Drosophila melanogaster: one gene and its partners. The gene in region 1 interacts genetically with each later gene. Each region holds a gene or a part of one and is shown in the gene's direction. Other genes may lie near its edges.

Region 1 (6,550 bases):
TAATTTCAAAGGAAATAACTGGGTAATGTCCCCACGTATCAAAAGTAATATCTTCGGATAAGCTTTGTCCGAAAAATATTGCATTGAGTGCTTTTATTGTATGCCAAAGACGCTTTTACCTGATAAAATAGTTTATCGCCCAATGTAAACAACTAAATTTTGCTCATAGATAAGCATTTAAATGTGAACGGTGTTCGTGCTCTTTGTGAATTAATTTTACATACCCTTAATTGCCTTCAGAATGAAAACCTCCTGCGCTTGGGCGACCATCAGAGCCTGCAGCACGGTTAGCGTATCCTGGCTGAGATCGGGCGTGGGTTCCGAGGGCACTGCCGCTGGCGTCGCTCCCTTCAAATACTGAAAGATGCCGGCGCTCTGCTGGAGCAGTTTGATGGTCAGCTTAAGGCCGTCATCCGAATCCAGGGACTGGTTGGCAGCGATGTTGCTCTGCAGGGCGGCAATGTTGAAGAGCACACAGACCTTCTCGTAAAGCAAGGAGGTGTGAGCTGTGGATGGTGGATGCCGTTGGGTTAGTGGTGAAATATACTTGGCACATGGCAATGAATCACTCACTCAGGCTGATCTTGCCGCCGAAAATGGAGCCCTTGTCGAAGGCATCCTTCCACTTAAAGGGTATCTGAAGTTCGCTAACCGATATCTTGGTCTCCAGCGCACAAATCTGGTCATAATAGCTGGAAATACAGAGCAGGCAACAAAACCCGGAGGCAAAACATTTAGTTAACGACTACGTCATCCGAGAGCTTGTTTACGTCTGACCACCACACCAATACAGAAGCACCAGGTGGAATCGAATCGAATGGAATGGGTGTGATTAGCTGCCCCGTTGTGCGGGTGACTCATCGGGAGATTCCCGGAAGAAGGCCACAAAGACATGGTGGTACTTACGCGTACACAATCTCCAGCGAAGCCTCGTACTTTTCAAAGAATTTCCAAATTGCCGTATTGCGTTGTTTCGAAAATTCGTTGACGGCCTCTCCGTACTTGCCCTTCTCCTCCTCCGACGCACCGTTGTAGGTGCTCTGGATGAGATTGTTCAGCGGCTTGATCACATCCACCTCCGACGGCTTCTTCAGCGGCACGCCCAGAAACTTCGACATCTTTTCCTGTTCTGCGGAGTCTGCTTCTTGTCCGACTTCTGATTCCAAGTGATATTAATTAATCGTCTGTCGCTCTATTCGAACTCCGCTTTACGCTCTCTTTCCTTCCCCTACAACAGCTGGCCAGCGATGTCCAGCCGTCGATACCGTTTTCGATAGCCACTAAAGAAATACTAAGGATTTAGTTCTATACTTCAAAGGTGAATTTTTGTCAAAGATACTTAATATTGTAAACTATTAAAAAAAAGTAATAGAATATTTTTTCTATGTTCTATGTTCTATATGTTTTTTATTACTAACATGAACCGGTAACTACCAGAGCTGCCACTATTTCAATACGTATGCACATTGCTACGTTTCTCGCCCTGTCGTTACGTTTTCAACAGTGTGGCATCTCTGCGGCGAGAGAAAGGTAACCCTAGACTTTCTATTTTCTGATTGCGTTGTTGTCGAGAAAATTGTGCGAAATTATTGGTTTTTTCTTAGAATTTACCGTAACAAGAAGCACGCTTACTAGAGTAGTTAGGCCTTGTCAAGAATTCGCACGTGAGTTGATATACGGAGCCCTGGCTTGGATATCCCAGTGACACCTAGAATCCCGTTCTATGTCATTCCGCAGAAGAAGCAGCAGCAGCAGTAGCGAGGCAGAAAACCGAAGAGACCCCGCGATGGCCGAAGTGGAGAAACCAACGGCGGCCACGCCCCCGACCGACATCCCCCAGGCCACGGCTGCACCTGCCAGCGAGGCGCCAGTGGCTGTAACGCCCACAGCGGATACCACCGTGGACGTCGAGCCGGGCACCTCGCCCACCCAGGAGCCCAACTCCAATTCGCATCCGCACGACTCCGAGTACGACACGGCCAGTGATCTGGAGGGCGGAGAGGACTATGACGACGAGGAGAGTGCCAGCGGCAGCGCCAGTGGCAGTGGGAGCGAGGAGGAATCTGAGACGGACGACGAGGACGATGAGGTGGGCAGCGAAACGGACGATGGCGAAGGGGAGCAGGCGATGGACCGCTCCGTCGCAGACAGTGAGGCCCAGAAGAAGGTGGACGAGGATCGCAGCAATCCGCAGTACATCCCAAAGCGGGGCACTTTCTACGAGCACGACGATCGGACGGCGGAGACCGAGGGAGAAATCCTGATCGAACCCGAAAACGGTGCTGGCCAGGCGGCGGCGGAGCCAAATGGCGAACTCAATGGACTTGCGGCCGCCGGTGCCACGCCGACTGGCCAAACGCCACAGATCTCACAGGCATCGAAGACCATGCGAAAATGGCAACCAGCTTCAGGCGGTGATCGCTGGTCTCACGATCGATTCGAGGCCACGGAGCAGGCTCCCAAATCCCGTGCAGAGTTGCTGCAAACATACGGCTACGACATTAGAAACGAGGACGCACCACCCAGAGCCAGACGTCGCCGGCGATATACGCGTGGGCCTAGTAAATACTCAAGAAACTGGGAGGACGAGCAGGCCTACCTCAAAGCCAGCAATAAGGAGCGCAAGCCGCCGCGGCCACAGGACTTCCCGGCGCTCAACGAAAGAAAGCCACGTGGTCCACGAACATCATCCTCGCGTGAGGAAAAGGAAAACCGACGGTCCGTCGCTGCTGAAGGCTTGGTTCCAGAGAAGCAACAGCCCTTGGCCAGTAGCTCCAATCCACACAGATCCCAGGAGCGTGAACGTGAGAGGGAAAGGGAGCGGGAACGCGATCGAGAGCCCAAGAATCGCAACTTCGGGCGGATGAACGGCGGCCCCGGACGTCAGAATGGCATGGAATTTAAGAAGAACAACCGTGGACAGCAGCTAAGAGAGCGGGAGCGGGGGCCAGACCAACTGGACAACCGTAACCAGAAGCCATCCACTCCACGCTCCAACCAACAACAACAGCCGCAGCAGCAACCTCATCATCAGCAACAGCCACAGCAGCAACGACAGCCGTCCCAGCCGCAGCAGTCTCCACAGACGCCGCTTTCCACGTCGAACCTTTCGCAGCGGCTCCAGCAGGTGCAGCAACGCAATGATCCCAGCCATGTGGGCAGTGTCCAGATGCATTCTCTGGCTAGCCAAAATCAGGCGCCTCAGCAGCAGCAGCAGCAGCCACTGCATCAGGAACAACGAAATGCGCCCAAGCGCTACTCCAGCTTGCGTCGCTCACAGCAGGAGGCATCACAGCACTTGGCTGAGCAGCAGCAACAGCAGATGCAGCAGCAGTTGCATCTTCAACAGCAACAGCAGCAGCAACAATCGCAGATCATGATTCAGGACCCCCATGTTCTGATGCAGATCGCCTATCAGCAACAGGAGCTGCAGGCCCAACTGCAGACCATGCAACTTGGACCACCTACTGCCGCAGGAGCAGTTCCAACACCACCAAAGCCACATGCCCCGCCGGCAGCCGCATATCCGCAAGCACAGGCGGCACCGTACTATGTGACCGGAACGGAGCCAGTTCCAGTGCCCGTTCCCCAGGCACCGTATGTTAATCCGGCTAGTGCCGCTTACTTGCCAACCACTCCGGCTGCCGTGGCGTACGCCCAAGCAGGGCCTCCGGTTGTAACACAACCCACACCGCCGCCCGCTCAGGCGCCGCCCGCAACGCAGCCGGCTCAGCCGTATCAGAACTACAACACGGTCGGTGGCACAACCTACTTTGTACCGCCGGCTCAAACCACTAGCCGACCAAGTGCTCTGCCCCAGCGTCGTCCCACCAACGCGATTCCCATTCTCCCGCCCTCCGAAAAGCATAAGGTCAAGGGTGGAGCGAAGGAGGAGGGCATCTCGGACAACATAGATCACATCATTGACAACATGTTCGTGCAGCGACCTTCGGCCTTCCAGGCTACCGGCGAAGGCGCAACTCCAGGTGGGGGAACAAAGGAAGAGGCGGCAGCCACTCCACCGGCTGCCGAGCAGAACCTTCAGCCAGTTCCGGCCACTGGGCAGGAATGAGTGCAGGCGTACGCCGGCTTGCCGCCACAGCAGCAGCAGAGACGAGGCCAACGGATAGCGCCGCCGCCCTCCTCCGGCTACTCAATGCTGCAGCCGCACGCTGGCTACTATCGACCTCCGCCCCCGCCGCACTAGTGCGGACAGCCCAGCTCCTAACTCAACTCATACGATTTTTTTTCCCCCATTCTGTCCTTGGGTCTGCGACTCAAAAAGTACTGCATAAATAAAGAAACGCAGTGAGAACCACTTGTAATTAGCATTTAGCTCCCAGATAATCGAAATTACTAACGAAAAGTTTTCGTATATAGACGATTATATATATATATATTGTAATCCGGCGCAAGCTCCAATTAATTTGTACGTAGTATCTAGGGCCGGCTAACGTATTGAAGCGGCTGGGCGCTTAGCTTATTTAGCCGCATTTTAGAATTGAAACACAAGAATTACCGAGAGAAATGTATTTGCAAAAACTAATCGATCATTGAATTTAAATAAACGTTTAACACGAAGTTACAAATGCTGCACACCCTTTCTGTCAAACTACAAACTACCAACGAAGTCTGCGTTTTCACTTAGTTTCCGGTGAAAGGTGGGTTGAACTAGGGATCCAATTTCAAATAAAAAATATTTAAATTCGACTGTTCGTTAAAATCTAGGTAATTGTGCTAATTGAAACAAAATGGAAAGAAAAACCAAAAATCTACTTTCTGATTGGAACTAAAAATGAGAACTGAATTTCAATGACGACATAAAGTAAGATTAGATCTTTTCTTAATACTAGATGAGCTTTTCATAGCTTGGATTCCTTGGCCAATTGTTCCAGGAGAACGCTGATGCGGCGGAATGAGTCCTTGAAAATGTCGTTGAACTTGCGAGCGCTTGTCTTTAGGCTATCCCGATAGGCGGTGGTATTAATGAACACACTAGAATGTACGAAATTAAAGAACAATTCAAGATAATGGAGGAGTGTCTAGCTTACGCTTCCGAGGTGATGGAGTAAAAGACGCCATAGCCATCGAAGACCATGGGCGCCACGAAACCAACGTTGGCCGTGAAGCCCAGCGTGCTGGACGAGAGCACAAAGTTACCTCCTCCGCCGCTCTTGGTGTACATCGGATCGTCGTAGAAGGCGGGAATGTCCATTTTGCTTTCATACGCCGCGCACCACAGGCCAAACAAGTGCCTATCGATGCCGTGTCCCTTGCGCGCCTCGTTCATGAAGTGCTTGTGCTCATCGACTGCCCTACGGAACGCCCTGGCCAGTGACATATCGCCAACCTGCTTGTTGGATGACGCCCTCAGGAATTCAGCCACAGCGGAAGTGCATGATCGCAGGGTCTCTGTTCGTCCATTGTAGTACTGTCGCATCAGAGCAGTCTCATATGTGGGAGCAATTCTGTTGGATATCCATGGAGTGTTGTTAGTGCTGTTTTTTTTAGTCCAGAGGTGAACTCACTCTTTATGCATTTGGTAGTAGGCCCACTGCATGACCACCTGAACAAAGGAGTCTGGATGCAGTCGATGGGTTTTCATAAAGTCCTTGCCGTAGTCATCGAACGCAGTGAAGGTCACAGTAACGTCAATACCCTAAGGATACCACATACAAAAGGATTAACTAGTTCAATAACAGGTTTCGGAAAAAGGCGTTTTGCCTACCCTGTCATCAATATCCTTCTGCACGCGCTTGATCTCGTTCTTGAGCGTATCATCCAGCTGGAAGTGCAGCTCCTTGACCTCCAAAACATTGCCTTTTTCGGCCTCTGCCCAGTCTGGCTCTGGCACCTCCAGGAAGCTCAGTTGCATGAATGTGGCGTAACTTATGCTGACCGTGCCATCGTAGCAGCTGTGCTCACCCGTCCAGTTGCAGCGTCCGTTGCGGAAGGCGATGATGCTGCTGCTGCGGTCTGCCCAGCGGGAATGGAGATCACCGTAGAGACCCAGCTGGCAGGACTCCTCGTAGTCCTTGGGCGATTGCTCGTACCAGCAGATCTCCATACATGCGCTCTCCACCAGAAGCAGCGTCTCCTTGTTTGCAACTGAGATTTCCCTCAAACGGTTGCGGTTGCGTGCCCACGTGGAGCGTTCGTCATGGCTCAGGGTGGGCACACAATCGCCCAACGGCTCGTAGTCGAGGATGCTGCGCACTCTTTGCAGGGCCACGAGGATTTCGGGAGCCGATAGGATAGTGTCGTCCTCGTGCACACAATCGAAGATGAACTGACGTCCCTTGCCGGAAATAAGCATGTGACTCGGCGTTTTGCCCTCATCCTTGGTGAGAAAATGCTTCTCTATATGATCCTGCTCCTCGCCTGGCACACGGCACGTGGAGAAGAAGTGCTTGTACAGCGCGGAGGAGTACTTTATTTTACCGCCGTTCGAGGAGAGCGGTTTGATGCTGGACTTTCTAGTCAGATCCCAAAACTCCAGCGAGTGGTGAATGTGGCGCGCCAGACTCTTCGAAAATTATACAGTCAATTA
Region 2 (6,861 bases), 2.8 Mb from region 1:
TAGGCAAAATGTCCCAGTGGTCATAGATGCGTCGCATGTCTACGGGGCTGACTTCACAACGGCCACGGTTATAGACTCGCTGATCAGTGATTTCAATCAGCGAGGACAACTGCTCTTCTTCTACAACCTCAAACCGAGTATCTGCTCCATTTTCGAGCACGTGTCGGCGGCCCAGTTCGTGGTCTACTACCAGGAGCAGCAGTTGGATGAGCTGCTCAAGGAGCGCAACTATGTGCAGAAGCGGCTCGAGACGGCCTAACTGGCTTATTCTCCTCAACACGTGATACAAATAATTTAGCCTAAGTGTTTGCTTTAATTATTTATGGCGTTGTAAATAGATTGTAAACTAATTGTGTAGTATTATCCAGAGCACACAACTATTAGAAATTGTAAGGTGAACAAATAAGTGTATTTCTTAATTACGTAATAATAACAAACAAAAATAATTTATCTTGTTTATTTCATGAAAGAGTAAAAGTCAGTGAGATTGGTTAACTCAAATCAATTAAAACTATTATTCAGTTTTGTTTATCAGATATATTTGATTTTGAATTTAAATACTTGGGCAATATACAACACTTGATAATGGCGCTATACAGCACTCTTAAGCTATCGATAAAAGCTATAGATAGACCGATATATTCAGTGCTGTTAGCCGTCCCTACTCAACACTGAAACATTTCTCACGTGTAAAGTTGAGCAGTTTGTTTTCCTCTTTTTTCCGCTTAATTTAACTTAAAATGAAACGCCTGAGCGACGAACGTGCCAAGATCTTGTTCGAGCACCTGTCCAAATAGTGAGTACCCAAAACAGATCATCGCAATGCAGCTAACAAGTGCTCTTACAGCATTGGCACAAATGTGAAGCATTTGATTGACCGGCCAGATGGAACATATTGCTTTCGGGAGCACAAGGATCGGGTCTACTACGTCTCGGAGCGGATTTTGAAGCTGAGCGAGTGCTTCGGCTACAAGCAGCTGGTGTGCGTGGGCACCTGCTTCGGCAAGTTCTCCAAGACCAACAAACTGAAGTTCCATATCACGGCCCTCTACTACTTGGCGCCCTACGCCCAGTACAAGGTGTGGGTGAAGCCCTCCTTCGAGCAGCAGTTTCTCTACGGCAACCACATACCCAAAACAGGACTGGGTCGCATCACGGAGAACGCCGGCCAGTACCAGGGCGTGGTGGTCTACTCCATGAACGACCTGCCTCTGGGCTTCGGCGTACTGGCGCGTTCCACAACGGACTGCAAGACCGCCGATCCCATGACCACCGTATGCTTTCATCAGTCGGATATCGGCGAATATATTCGCGCCGAGGACACGCTCTTTTAGATCCATAGATGCTAAGTTTTTACATGTTTTGTAGCAATAACCATGTTTAGGTAAATAATAAGTATGCTGAAAAACGGATAAACTGCTTTTGATTTTATATTTTTAATGTTAATACTGATAATAATAATAATTGATAATAAAACTTACACTACATTTCATAAATTATTATTAAAAAAAAAAATTTTAAATAGTGAGCCAATATTTTGTGGTATATTTTATGCAAGGTATTTTTTGAGTTTGAAATAGTATATACCCGCATTTTCAATGCCAATGGTATTTTGTACCGAAACGGTCACACGCAACACTGCAATTTCTGGACGCGATTTCGTGGGAATCTTCGATGGAAATGCGTCTGAATGCGGCTTCCATATGGCTGTTAATACTGTCGTATGGAGCAACTATTGGTAATAATCAGGACGAAAACAAAGTGGAGCTTCCAGTAGCGACCGGCGTCGAAAACCCGCACGCCCACTTTTTAATATAGGCCAAATAACCTGAGTCATCTAACCCGAACTTTCTTTGTCCACAGCTCAAGGAGAAAGAACCCGCGATAAGATGTACGAGCCCATTGGAGGAGCTAGCTGTTTCCGACGGCTGAATGGCACCCATCAGACAGGCTGTTCCTGTGAGTCCATTGAGAATATACCTTGAAATCCTCTATAATTCTTTCTTTTCAGCAACCTACTCCGGTTCCGTGGGCGTACTACATCTAATAAACGTCGAGGCCGACCTGGAATTTCTTCTTAGCAGCCCACCATCTCCACCTTACGCCCCCATGATACCACCTCACCTGTTCACACGTAACAACCTGATGCGCCTAAAGGAAGCCGGACCAAAGAACATTTCTGTGGTGCTGCTGATCAACCGCACGAACCAGATGAAGCAGTTCTCGCACGAACTCAACTGCCCCAATCAGTACAGCGGCCTGAACAGCACCAGTGAGACCTGCGACGCCAGCAATCCAGCCAAAAACTGGAATCCCTGGGGCACTGGACTTCTGCACGAGGACTTTCCCTTTCCTATCTATTACATAGCCGATTTGGATCAGGTCACCAAGCTAGAGAAGTGCTTTCAGGACTTTAACAACCATAACTACGAGACGCACGCGCTGCGTAGCTTGTGCGCCGTCGAGGTCAAGTCCTTTATGTCCGCCGCTGTCAACACCGAGGTCTGTATGCGCCGCACCAACTTCATCAATAATCTTGGAGGAAGCAAGTACTGCGATCCGCTCGAGGGACGGAATGTTTACGCCACCTTGTACCCCCGAAAGCCAGCAATCGAAAACAACTTGGAGACAGTCCATACGAATGAAAAGTTCATATTAGTAACCTGTCGCCTGGACACCACCACCATGTTCGATGGCGTCGGTGAGTTCAAGTAGTGGAATTACTACTACTTCGACTACATGATTTATTTCTACAATTCACAGGTCTTGGAGCCATGGACTCCCTCATGGGATTTGCTGTTTTCACTCATGTGGCGTATCTATTAAAACAACTACTTCCGCCGCAAAGCAAAGACCTTCATAATGTCCTCTTTGTGACTTTTAATGGCGAATCCTATGACTACATTGGTTCTCAAAGATTTGTATACGACATGGAGAAACTTCAATTTCCTACTGAATCCACAGGCACGCCTCCGATTGCCTTTGACAATATTGACTTCATGCTGGACATCGGGACACTGGATGACATATCGAATATTAAGCTGCATGCGTTAAATGGAACGACTTTGGCTCAGCAAATTCTAGAGCGGCTAAATAACTATGCGAAGTCGCCACGCTATGGCTTTAACCTGAACATTCAGTCCGAGATGAGCGCTCACTTACCACCTACGTCGGCGCAATCATTTCTGCGACGTGATCCAAACTTCAATGCATTGATTCTAAACGCTCGTCCAACGAACAAGTATTATCATTCCATATACGATGACGCGGATAACGTGGACTTCACCTATGCGAACACAAGCAAGGATTTCACCCAGCTGACGGAAGTTAATGACTTTAAAAGCTTGAACCCAGATTCACTGCAAATGAAAGTGCGCAACGTTTCCTCTATTGTGGCCATGGCCCTATATCAGACAATAACTGGAAAGGAGTACACTGGCACCAAGGTGGCCAACCCTCTGATGGCAGATGAGTTCCTTTACTGTTTCCTGCAATCGGCGGACTGCCCACTCTTTAAGGCCGCATCTTATCCGGGCAGTCAGCTCACCAATTTGCCTCCGATGCGGTAAGTTAGCTATAAACATGCCTATACTTGGATTTATTTATTGCTAGCCTTTCTTTTCCCAAGCTACATAAGCGTCTTGGGTGGCTCTCAAGAGTCGTCGGGCTATACGTATAGATTGCTGGGCTATCTCCTGTCACAACTGCAGCCAGACATTCACAGAGATAACTGCACCGACTTGCCGCTGCACTATTTCGCCGGATTCAACAATATCGGAGAGTGTCGCCTCACCACGCAGAACTACAGTCACGCCCTGAGTCCAGCTTTTCTTATTGATGGTTAGCCCTGAAATGCCTTTATTGTCTTGTGCAAACATTTTTACAATTAAACTTTCATTAGGCTACGATTGGAGTTCCGGCATGTATTCCACTTGGACTGAATCCACCTGGTCACAGTTCAGTGCACGCATCTTCCTGCGCCCGTCCAATGTGCACCAGGTCACAACTCTAAGCGTTGGCATAGTGGTGCTGATAATATCCTTCTGTTTGGTGTATATAATCAGCTCACGATCGGAAGTCCTCTTTGAGGATTTGCCGGCAAGCAATGCCGCGTAAGTCCCTTCAGATGCATCCACTTGTACATCGTCAGTTTGCTCATCAATTACTGGGAAACTCATGTCATCTTTAGTGCTCAGATTTTGTTTGGTTTCTATGTATTGTAATATTTATTTGAAATTTATTGTTTCTAGATTATTTGGTTGATGTCACAACTGCCACAGCGACGAAATCATCGCGTTCAGCAGCTCATTCCATAGATTTCTGCATGCGTAAACTAAACGTTACTTGTAAACCAATCGATTAAGAATTTCTGATTGTGCCCTTTTAGATCGCCGCGGCCGACAGCCTGTTAAATCTTCAAAGAATATCTGATCACGTGCCGAAGATGATTGGTTGCTGAATATGATCTAAAACAAAAAACAGACTTAACAAAGACACTAAAATGATATTCTAACTCGTCTTATTTAAAACATTAAGCAAACGTTTATTTATATGTATTTTTGTATTTTAAAGTAGTAAATTAGCTTCTATCAACTACGTTGTATCATATATAGACATTTAACCAATTGCGACAAAATTCTTTCCACTTGTCCGGCCCTTTTTGCATTGTACATAGGATTAACCAACCCAATTGAACCTCTGATAATGCCAAGGAAGAGATGTCTGTACAAATATTGACAAGAAACTGCTATAACTTATAAATCACTGGAAATATTTATACCTTCTGCATCTATTGCGATACTGAACTTAATGATCTGAAATCATTACTTCATAGAAGACAAATAATTATTATAACGACTTTAAATTATATATGTTTAATAAATTTTGATAAGGTGTAAAGCAATGTCCTGTTATCTAGTTAGGTTATTTTCAAGGCAATTATTCACAGCTCTCAGATTCCAACGATTGATGTAGTTTAATCTCAACTCTTTACCAAAGAAGTCCATTTGTACTAGTGTAAAAGATATTTTCAATACTCTTAAAATCGTGGAAATACTTTTGGGAATGGTAAGAATTGGCAAAATCCGAAGTTTTGACGATATTATCGTCTTAAATATTTTTAATTTCTTTAGTTTAGCAATCCTTGAAGCCGAAGATTAACAATCGAATCTGTAATTACCCCTGCGGATGCCTTCAAGTAGCCACCACTCAGCAGCATCACCACCGGAATTCCTAATGCCCGAAATGTACTAAATACCAACCGATCCCGCTCAATAACGCCCTCCGCGGAAATAGCCAGGTTGCCCAATGGATCGCCCTCGAGCACATCGGTTCCCGCATTATAGACGACCATATCTGGACGGAACTCGGCCAGGGACTGCATCAGGCAGCGTTTTAGTTGCCGCAGGTAGAATCCATCCTCCGTGTAGTTGCGCAGCTCCACCGCACACCGAATGCTCTCCTTGGCCACATGATCCCGCGGATAGACAAAGGCATTGTACATGTCGAAAATGTAGACGGCTGCCACGTTATTGAAGTCCCGCTCGTGCCCATTGCCCTGATGGGCATCCAGGTCCACAATCATTATGCGGCGCACCCGGAATGGTTCCTGCTCGAACAGCCTGACGATGAGCAGCGAGATGTCAGCATATGGACAGAAACCACCGCCTCTGTACGAGCAACAGTGATGGAACCCACCGCCCAGGTTGATGGCCCAACCATAATCCAATGCCAGCTTACCGGCCAAAATGGAACCGGCTGCTTGAAAGCGCATGGGTCGCAAATAGGAACGCTGAATGTATCGATTCGGGACGAAGGCCATCAGCGGCACTTCAGCGATGCAGGCCACATTCATGCTCCAGCGCAGTGACTTTAGGTATTCCCTTGTGTGAATACGACGCAGCTGGTCCTTGGTCAGCTCCGTGGGTTCGTAGAAGCTGCCGTCGTCGAGCTGCAGTTGGGCGCACAGGAGCTGTGGTCCATTGATTGGTATATAAAAGTTCAGGAGATCGGGAAATGCATACGAACCTTGTGAATGTGCTTGCCCTTGGCCGCATCGAAGGGATGTAGGCGTTCAAGGCCACCGAAGCGAACCGCATAGTTCCTTGAGAACACGATGGGCAGTTTGCCGGCGGAGCGTGCGTCATCCCGCTTAACCCAGACAACCTCCTCGGACTCCTGCTCCTCGTGGTGCACTCGCTCAGTCAGGCGCTTCATTTTGTGGTTCAATTTAGGCGTGGATTACATCTGTCCGACACCAGTTGAATTGGCTACGCAAATAGCAAATGCAATTTCGCATCTTTGGGGTTGGGAACGGGAATGGGAAAGGGTGGATGCGCCATCAGCTGGCGGCCGGCAAAAAGCTTCCATTCAAGCACTTGGACTAAGCTTTTGCATAAAACAACAAATGCACTTAAAATAATTTTAATACACTATGTGACTTGGACAATACATATTACATGATATTCACTTGGCTAAAACACTTATTTTGCTTTACTTCTATAAACTGGTCGGTCATGGCCATCTTGCAGTTCCCTGTAGGTGTTAAGGACGCGCTGGTCACGAGAGTCCCTCAGTTGCCAAAAGTGCTTCCACTGTTGATTTATATCACAAAAAGGAACTACTTCTGTTTAGATTACTTACCAGCTCCTTGGGAACATCGAGAGGAGTCGGGAAAACAAACCAGATGACTGCCTCGGCACAGGGAGGAGTAGTAAGCGAACCTAAAACATATATGTATGAATGGATATCCAAAAGCCAAAAGAAACATCTCACCTTGGTAGGTGAAGTATTTTTGGCTGTCTATGCTAGCAAAAAGGTCCTGCAAAGCCATGCTGTCCTCCAGAGGACACGAATCATCCA
Region 3 (5,485 bases), about 19 Mb from region 1:
TCTTGCGACCCTGCGTCGGCATGGCCACTAAATCAAAGTCCCAATTTAGCCACATTTGCATGAGGAAGTCATGTGCGACTCACCCAAAAACAGCGCCAGGAGCAGCAGGTGCAGCAGCGATGGCATCTCTGGCGATTATGCAATGGAGCAGCTGGCGAAAGGAAGTCGCACAACCGGAAGACTCGTGATCACCGCAGGCGCAAGCTTTTGGGTTCCTCTGTCGCACGCCGAGTGCTGAAAGAAAACAAATTTCCGTTTTTAATTGGGGAAAAGTTTCTTCATTGTTTTTCACGTATGTATATGCTTTTCAGTTTAGTTAGCTAGTTAGTTGTTGATTGCATCTCACTAAAATAAACTTGTTACGAAATGTACCACTTCATTCTGCATTAAAAATATCTTCACATCTGAAGGACACCTTTTGCGAGTGCATAATCATTGGGCAACCGGTTACATAGCCGCTTTGCCTATTAGCTAATATTTTATGGTGCGGCACTTTCTTTGCTCTAGGATGGCCGGTAAGTCGTTAGTGGGTCACGGAATGATATGTTCCACGAGAGAACCTGTTTAGTTTGAAGCGCAGCCAAACTGGACACTGCACACAAGGCACACACCAATCACTCAGTTTTGACACCAACGCACCTCTCGATCTCGATCTCGACTTGGACTTGGACTTGACCGACACGAACGTCCTGTGCGGACCAGAGATAAAATGCTTATGACTCGAGTGGAGGATCGCCCGCCAAGCGGAGTCAATGTGGATGGACGAGTTCGGTGAAAAACGCTTTTACTTTCGCACTAGATGAAGCTAGGAGCGCGCAACAGGTAGAGCTGGAGGCTGGTGGCTGGGGGAGCGGCAAGTGGGCGCAGTAAATCCGGTGGAGACTCAACGACGATTGCCAGTTGGCCACCAGAGGCGCCATGTATTTATAAACGAACTGGTCGGGTCGCCGAAAGAAAGTGCAAACCCGTTGGCTGTTGGTTTTCCTCGCGAGCTGGCCATGCACCATCATCCAACAACGATGGTGCTGGGTCAATGCTACCAGGCGGCTGCTCGATTGGATAATTTGTAGCCGCAATTATGGCAGAGCGTCTAATTGCCATGAGACGCTTTAAATGCCCGCTCCGGGAGAGATTGCATATGACGAAAGACCGATGAAGTCCGATGATTGTTCGCTTCCTCGCAGATCCGCGTGTGAACACGGAGGAGTGTTCGGAAGCTTAGCGAGGTGTGTTGAGTATACGCCCCGTAATCCCCAATTGCATCATGATAAACTTGATGTCACAATTTGTAGTTTATAATTGTGATCTCACCTACGAACTATTGAATTTAATAAAACTGAATTATATTCTCCCTTTTGAAAATGCAAAGTAAAATAAAATATAAGATATACAAGTTATTGGCTTCAGTTGGTGCGCCCCCTCTTCAGCCAGAGTAAGTGCCTCAGTTCCGCCCTCCTGCGCTCCCTGGTGGCCCTATGCCTGGCCTCCTGGGCAGCACAGGCTGCCTTCTCGGCGGCGTTTTTGGTATTCTTGAAATCCACACGGGCCACCTCCAGCTGGCGGAGCAATAGCTCCACCCGCTTCTTGGCCGCTTCCACAAGCTGTTGCTTCTCGCCCAGCTCCTGCTGAGCGCCACTGGCCACGTGCTCCGAGTTGACCACATTATCCTGCGCATTCTTCACCGCCAGCGTAATGGTGTTCAGCTGATCTGCCGCCTGTTTGGCCGCTTGCCCGGCCGCAGCATAAGTAGTTTGGGTGGTCTGTAACAAGGTGCTCTCCTCCTGGACCACTAGCTCCCCCTCGCGCACCTCGGACTCCAGTTGCTCGACAATCTGTTGCTTGCCGGCCAGAGCAGCTTCTGCCGCCTTGGCTGCGGCCAGCGCTTTGTCGGCCAGTTGCTGCTTCACCTGGCGGGCAGCTGCCTCGCCAGCCTCTATCTGGGCATCGGATGCCTCCATGGCTTCCTTGGCCGCCTTCTGCGCAATGCATGAGGCCTTTACCCTGGTCTTTCCATTCATCTTGAAGTCGCACGGGGCACCGCCGGAGGATGACGACACACTGTTGTCGCCATCACCATGATGATCCGACATTAGAGCAGCTATCTCATTGGAGGACTGCGGCAACTTGTGGCCCGCAGAATGATCTGAGAACAGGAAGAAAAGTAGAAATGCGATTCGTGCTATCTCCATGCTTAACTCGAAATAGTTGTATTAAACGGATTTCTAAAGATATTTAAGAAATATATACTCCAGGTAACTTGTGGTTACTGTACAAATATTTCAAATAATAGTGATTTGAAAGGTGGAGCTGCTATATTCCCATTATTATCTCCACATTTCGATTTCCTGATGAGCCTTGAGATTTATGTACGATGCAAGATTCCCAATGCGTTGCGACTCCCTGGTTACGATGTTGCTTCTTTCGAACATCCTGCTGTCGACCGCCGCGCATCCTGCCCAGCGGAATGATCCGCGTTTCAAGCCCGGCTCCCTTCCCTGCAAGACGAGCATGAAAGCCAGCCAGGTGGCCTCGAAGGCGGCCAAGGATGCGAAGGACGCCAAGGATGCGCAGCCATGTGCCGCGGAGATGGCGGGCTACAGGGCACGGGAAATGCTGGCGGACAGGGCGTTGCAGGCGGCCAAGGCTGCGGAGGCGGCTCTCAACGGGAAGAAGCAGCTCCTCGATGAATACACCAAAAGTCTGGCAGAAACGAACAGGGTTATCGAGGAAATCCAACGAGCCATTGCTGCCAGCTCGTGCTCGGCGACGTCGGCAAAGGGGATCCGTGACAAGCTCTGCACATCCGTGAACATTATGAAGAGTATGCTAAAGGAAATGGGCGGAAATCTCGATAACATCCGGAGGATGGCCGACAGTGCCCAGAAAGAGGCCCTGGAAAAGCGCAGCCTTCTGAAAGCGGCCAGGATGCGGGTGGAAGAGCTCCATAGCTGCATGTGCGAGGCTCAGAAGGATCTGGAGCGAAATAAGCAGAGCGCTAAGAAGGCCAACGACGCCGCCAAGGAAGCACAGCAACGGATCGAAGCTTTGCAAAAACTGGTGAGCAGGATTAAGATGCTGAAGCGAAAGGATCTTCAGTCGCTCGAGAACTTCCTGCGCAGGAGAAGAAGTAGCACTCCGGAAAAAACAAGTTGAGTTTCTTGTTTGTTATGGCAATAATCATATTTATATTTTATAAAATACAATAAATAAGAACATATATTCACTTTAAATTTTTTCCGCCCGATATCAGTGTTGCCACTTGTCGCAAAATAAGTGAAAACATATCGATATCAAATTAAATCGACGCCGATTCAATAATCGATTGTTGCTAAGCAATTGATAGGCCACCCCTAGTAAGCGGACCGCATTTTTTTCTGTGAAAGTCAGAAAAATTAGCCGAAAAAGACTGTAAATATTTATTAATATCAGCCGAAACCGCACGCGAACAAATCGTGAACATGGCGCGCAAGAATGCCCAGGCGGAGGACCTCTCCAACGTGGAGTTCGAGACGAGCGAGGATGTGGAGGTGATACCCACATTCAACGCCATGAATCTAAAGGAGGAGCTGCTACGCGGCATCTACGCGTACGGTGAGTGGTGTGTATACCTATGGCCGGTCTAGAACTAATCCAGTTTTCTGCACTCCCAAGGCTTCGAGAAACCCTCGGCCATTCAGCAAAGGAGCATTACGCCTATCGTCAAGGGACGGGATGTGATTGCCCAGGCACAATCAGGCACGGGCAAAACCGCCACCTTCTCCATCTCCATCCTGCAGAGCCTGGACACCACGCTGCGGGAGACGCAGGTTCTGTGCCTGTCGCCCACTCGCGAGTTGGCTGTGCAAATCCAGAAAGTCATTCTTGCCCTCGGCGACATGATGAATGTCCAGTGCCATGTGTGCATCGGTGGCACCAACCTGGGCGAGGATATCCGCAAATTGGACTACGGTCAACACATTGTGAGCGGCACTCCAGGACGAGTCTTCGACATGATCAAGCGACGAGTGCTGCGAACAAGGTATGTTTCATTGTGCCCGATCAAACAATATTATAATTATAAGTACATTTTATAGAGCCATCAAGATGCTAGTGCTGGACGAAGCTGACGAGATGCTTAATAAGGGTTTCAAGGAACAGATATACGATGTGTATCGCTACTTGCCACCAGCCACCCAGGTGGTGCTCATCTCAGCTACCTTGCCCCACGAGATACTCGAGATGACCTCCAAATTTATGACAGATCCGATTCGCATCTTGGTCAAGCGGTAAGCAATATGATGCTCCCCCATATACGCAGTATGATTCATAAATTCCATTCCCTCACAGTGACGAATTGACACTGGAAGGCATCAAGCAGTTCTTCGTCGCCGTGGAGCGCGAGGAATGGAAATTCGATACCCTGTGCGATCTGTACGATACTCTGACCATTACCCAGGCCGTCATCTTCTGCAACACGAAACGCAAGGTGGACTGGCTGACGGAGAAGATGCGCGAGGCTAACTTTACAGTCAGCTCGATGCACGGCGATATGCCGCAAAAGGAGCGTGACGAGATCATGAAGGAGTTCCGAGCCGGCCAGTCGCGAGTGCTCATCACCACCGATGTGTGGGCTCGGGGTATCGATGTACAGCAGGTGTCGCTGGTCATCAACTACGATTTGCCCAACAACCGTGAGCTGTACATCCATCGCATCGGTCGTTCTGGTCGTTTCGGACGCAAAGGTGTTGCAATTAACTTTGTCAAATCGGACGATATCCGCATCCTGCGCGACATTGAGCAGTACTACTCCACACAAATCGACGAGATGCCCATGAACGTGGCTGACTTGATCTAAACTAATATTCTATCATTACTTTTATGTAACGCACTTTTCCTAGCCGTAACAACAAACGAATGAAGTAAATACATTTGAAGAGTATTTGAATTTCAATAGACAACCAAAATCTGTATAATAATAATAAATAACACGTAAGAATTTAATACAGAAACCAGTTTGCTTTTCAAATGGGTTAGGAGGGCTCAGGGGATGGGTGATTTACGTAAGTTCTTACGTCAAGGCGGGCACTTACAATTAAGAATTAATTGATGTTTAAGTGAGGTGTGCACTTAGTAATATTCTTTAAGACTTAACCTATTGCAAATGAGCTAAAAATGGTCATAAGCCTATTTACAAGATTTTATCTAATCAGATACCTAGAGACTTTGGTTTTGGCGAATCAAAAAGCGCGCTATAAACATAATTTAACACTACAATCTACGCTCGTCTGGCTCATCTCAGCTTAAAACTTCTGGCTTTTGCGGCAGCGCTGGAACGTACGAGCTGGCCGTCGATGTTGTTAGTGAGGATTGTCGCTGTTTCTTGCTTTCGTCTGATTTCAGAAGGGTGCCCAGAACAATGCCGAGGAAGAGAATGAGTCCTACTTGGTGGTTCGATATGAACTTTTTGGCGCAGTCGCTGGGGTTGTCAATGTTGAGGGAATAGATC

Evidence for each region.
Region 2: of btz (region 1) and Nct, changing one enhances a phenotype caused by changing the other (phenotypic enhancement), as found in Drosophila melanogaster (one study listed by BioGRID).
Region 3: of btz (region 1) and CG7483, changing one enhances a phenotype caused by changing the other (phenotypic enhancement), as found in Drosophila melanogaster (one study listed by BioGRID).

What each region holds. Positions count from the first base shown.
Region 1 is NT_033777.3:27,698,862-27,705,411, forward strand, and holds btz (barentsz), read left to right. Parts: upstream 1-1,563; 5' UTR 1,564-1,723; coding exon 1,724-4,072; coding exon of another isoform or gene 4,073-4,207; 3' UTR 4,208-4,584; downstream 4,585-6,550. Other genes in the region: ALiX (ALG-2 interacting protein X), read right to left, coding at 225-506, 574-692, 907-1,118; CROT (carnitine O-octanoyltransferase), read right to left, coding at 4,863-4,995, 5,052-5,468, 5,529-5,659, 5,729-6,526.
Region 2 is NT_033777.3:24,849,975-24,856,835, forward strand, and holds Nct (nicastrin), read left to right. Parts: upstream 1-1,626; 5' UTR 1,627-1,674; coding exon 1,675-1,738; intron 1,739-1,863; coding exon 1,864-1,959; intron 1,960-2,011; coding exon 2,012-2,701; intron 2,702-2,763; coding exon 2,764-3,565; intron 3,566-3,628; coding exon 3,629-3,840; intron 3,841-3,901; coding exon 3,902-4,112; coding exon of another isoform or gene 4,113-4,116; exon of another isoform or gene 4,117-4,250; coding exon of another isoform or gene 4,251-4,263; exon of another isoform or gene 4,264-4,387; coding exon 4,388-4,412; 3' UTR 4,413-4,895; downstream 4,896-6,861. Other genes in the region: Esp (epidermal stripes and patches), read left to right, coding at 1-259; CG7006 (uncharacterized protein), read left to right, coding at 741-796, 848-1,334; HDAC11 (histone deacetylase 11), read right to left, coding at 5,129-5,971, 6,028-6,216; CAH4 (carbonic anhydrase 4), read right to left, coding at 6,483-6,593, 6,643-6,722, 6,775-6,861. UniProt on the Drosophila melanogaster protein: Essential subunit of the gamma-secretase complex, an endoprotease complex that catalyzes the intramembrane cleavage of integral membrane proteins such as Notch.
Region 3 is NT_033777.3:8,309,880-8,315,364, forward strand, and holds CG7483 (uncharacterized protein), read left to right. Parts: upstream 1-3,328; 5' UTR 3,329-3,458; coding exon 3,459-3,591; intron 3,592-3,651; coding exon 3,652-4,018; intron 4,019-4,073; coding exon 4,074-4,265; intron 4,266-4,326; coding exon 4,327-4,834; 3' UTR 4,835-4,985; downstream 4,986-5,485. Other genes in the region: CG11693 (uncharacterized protein), read right to left, coding at 1-27, 84-126; CG11694 (uncharacterized protein), read right to left, coding at 1,404-2,189; CG11698 (uncharacterized protein), read left to right, coding at 2,365-3,153; Coq2 (coenzyme Q biosynthesis protein 2), read right to left, coding at 5,275-5,484. UniProt on the Drosophila melanogaster protein: ATP-dependent RNA helicase. Core component of the splicing-dependent multiprotein exon junction complex (EJC) deposited at splice junctions on mRNAs. Involved in exon definition of genes containing long introns, including the rolled/MAPK gene.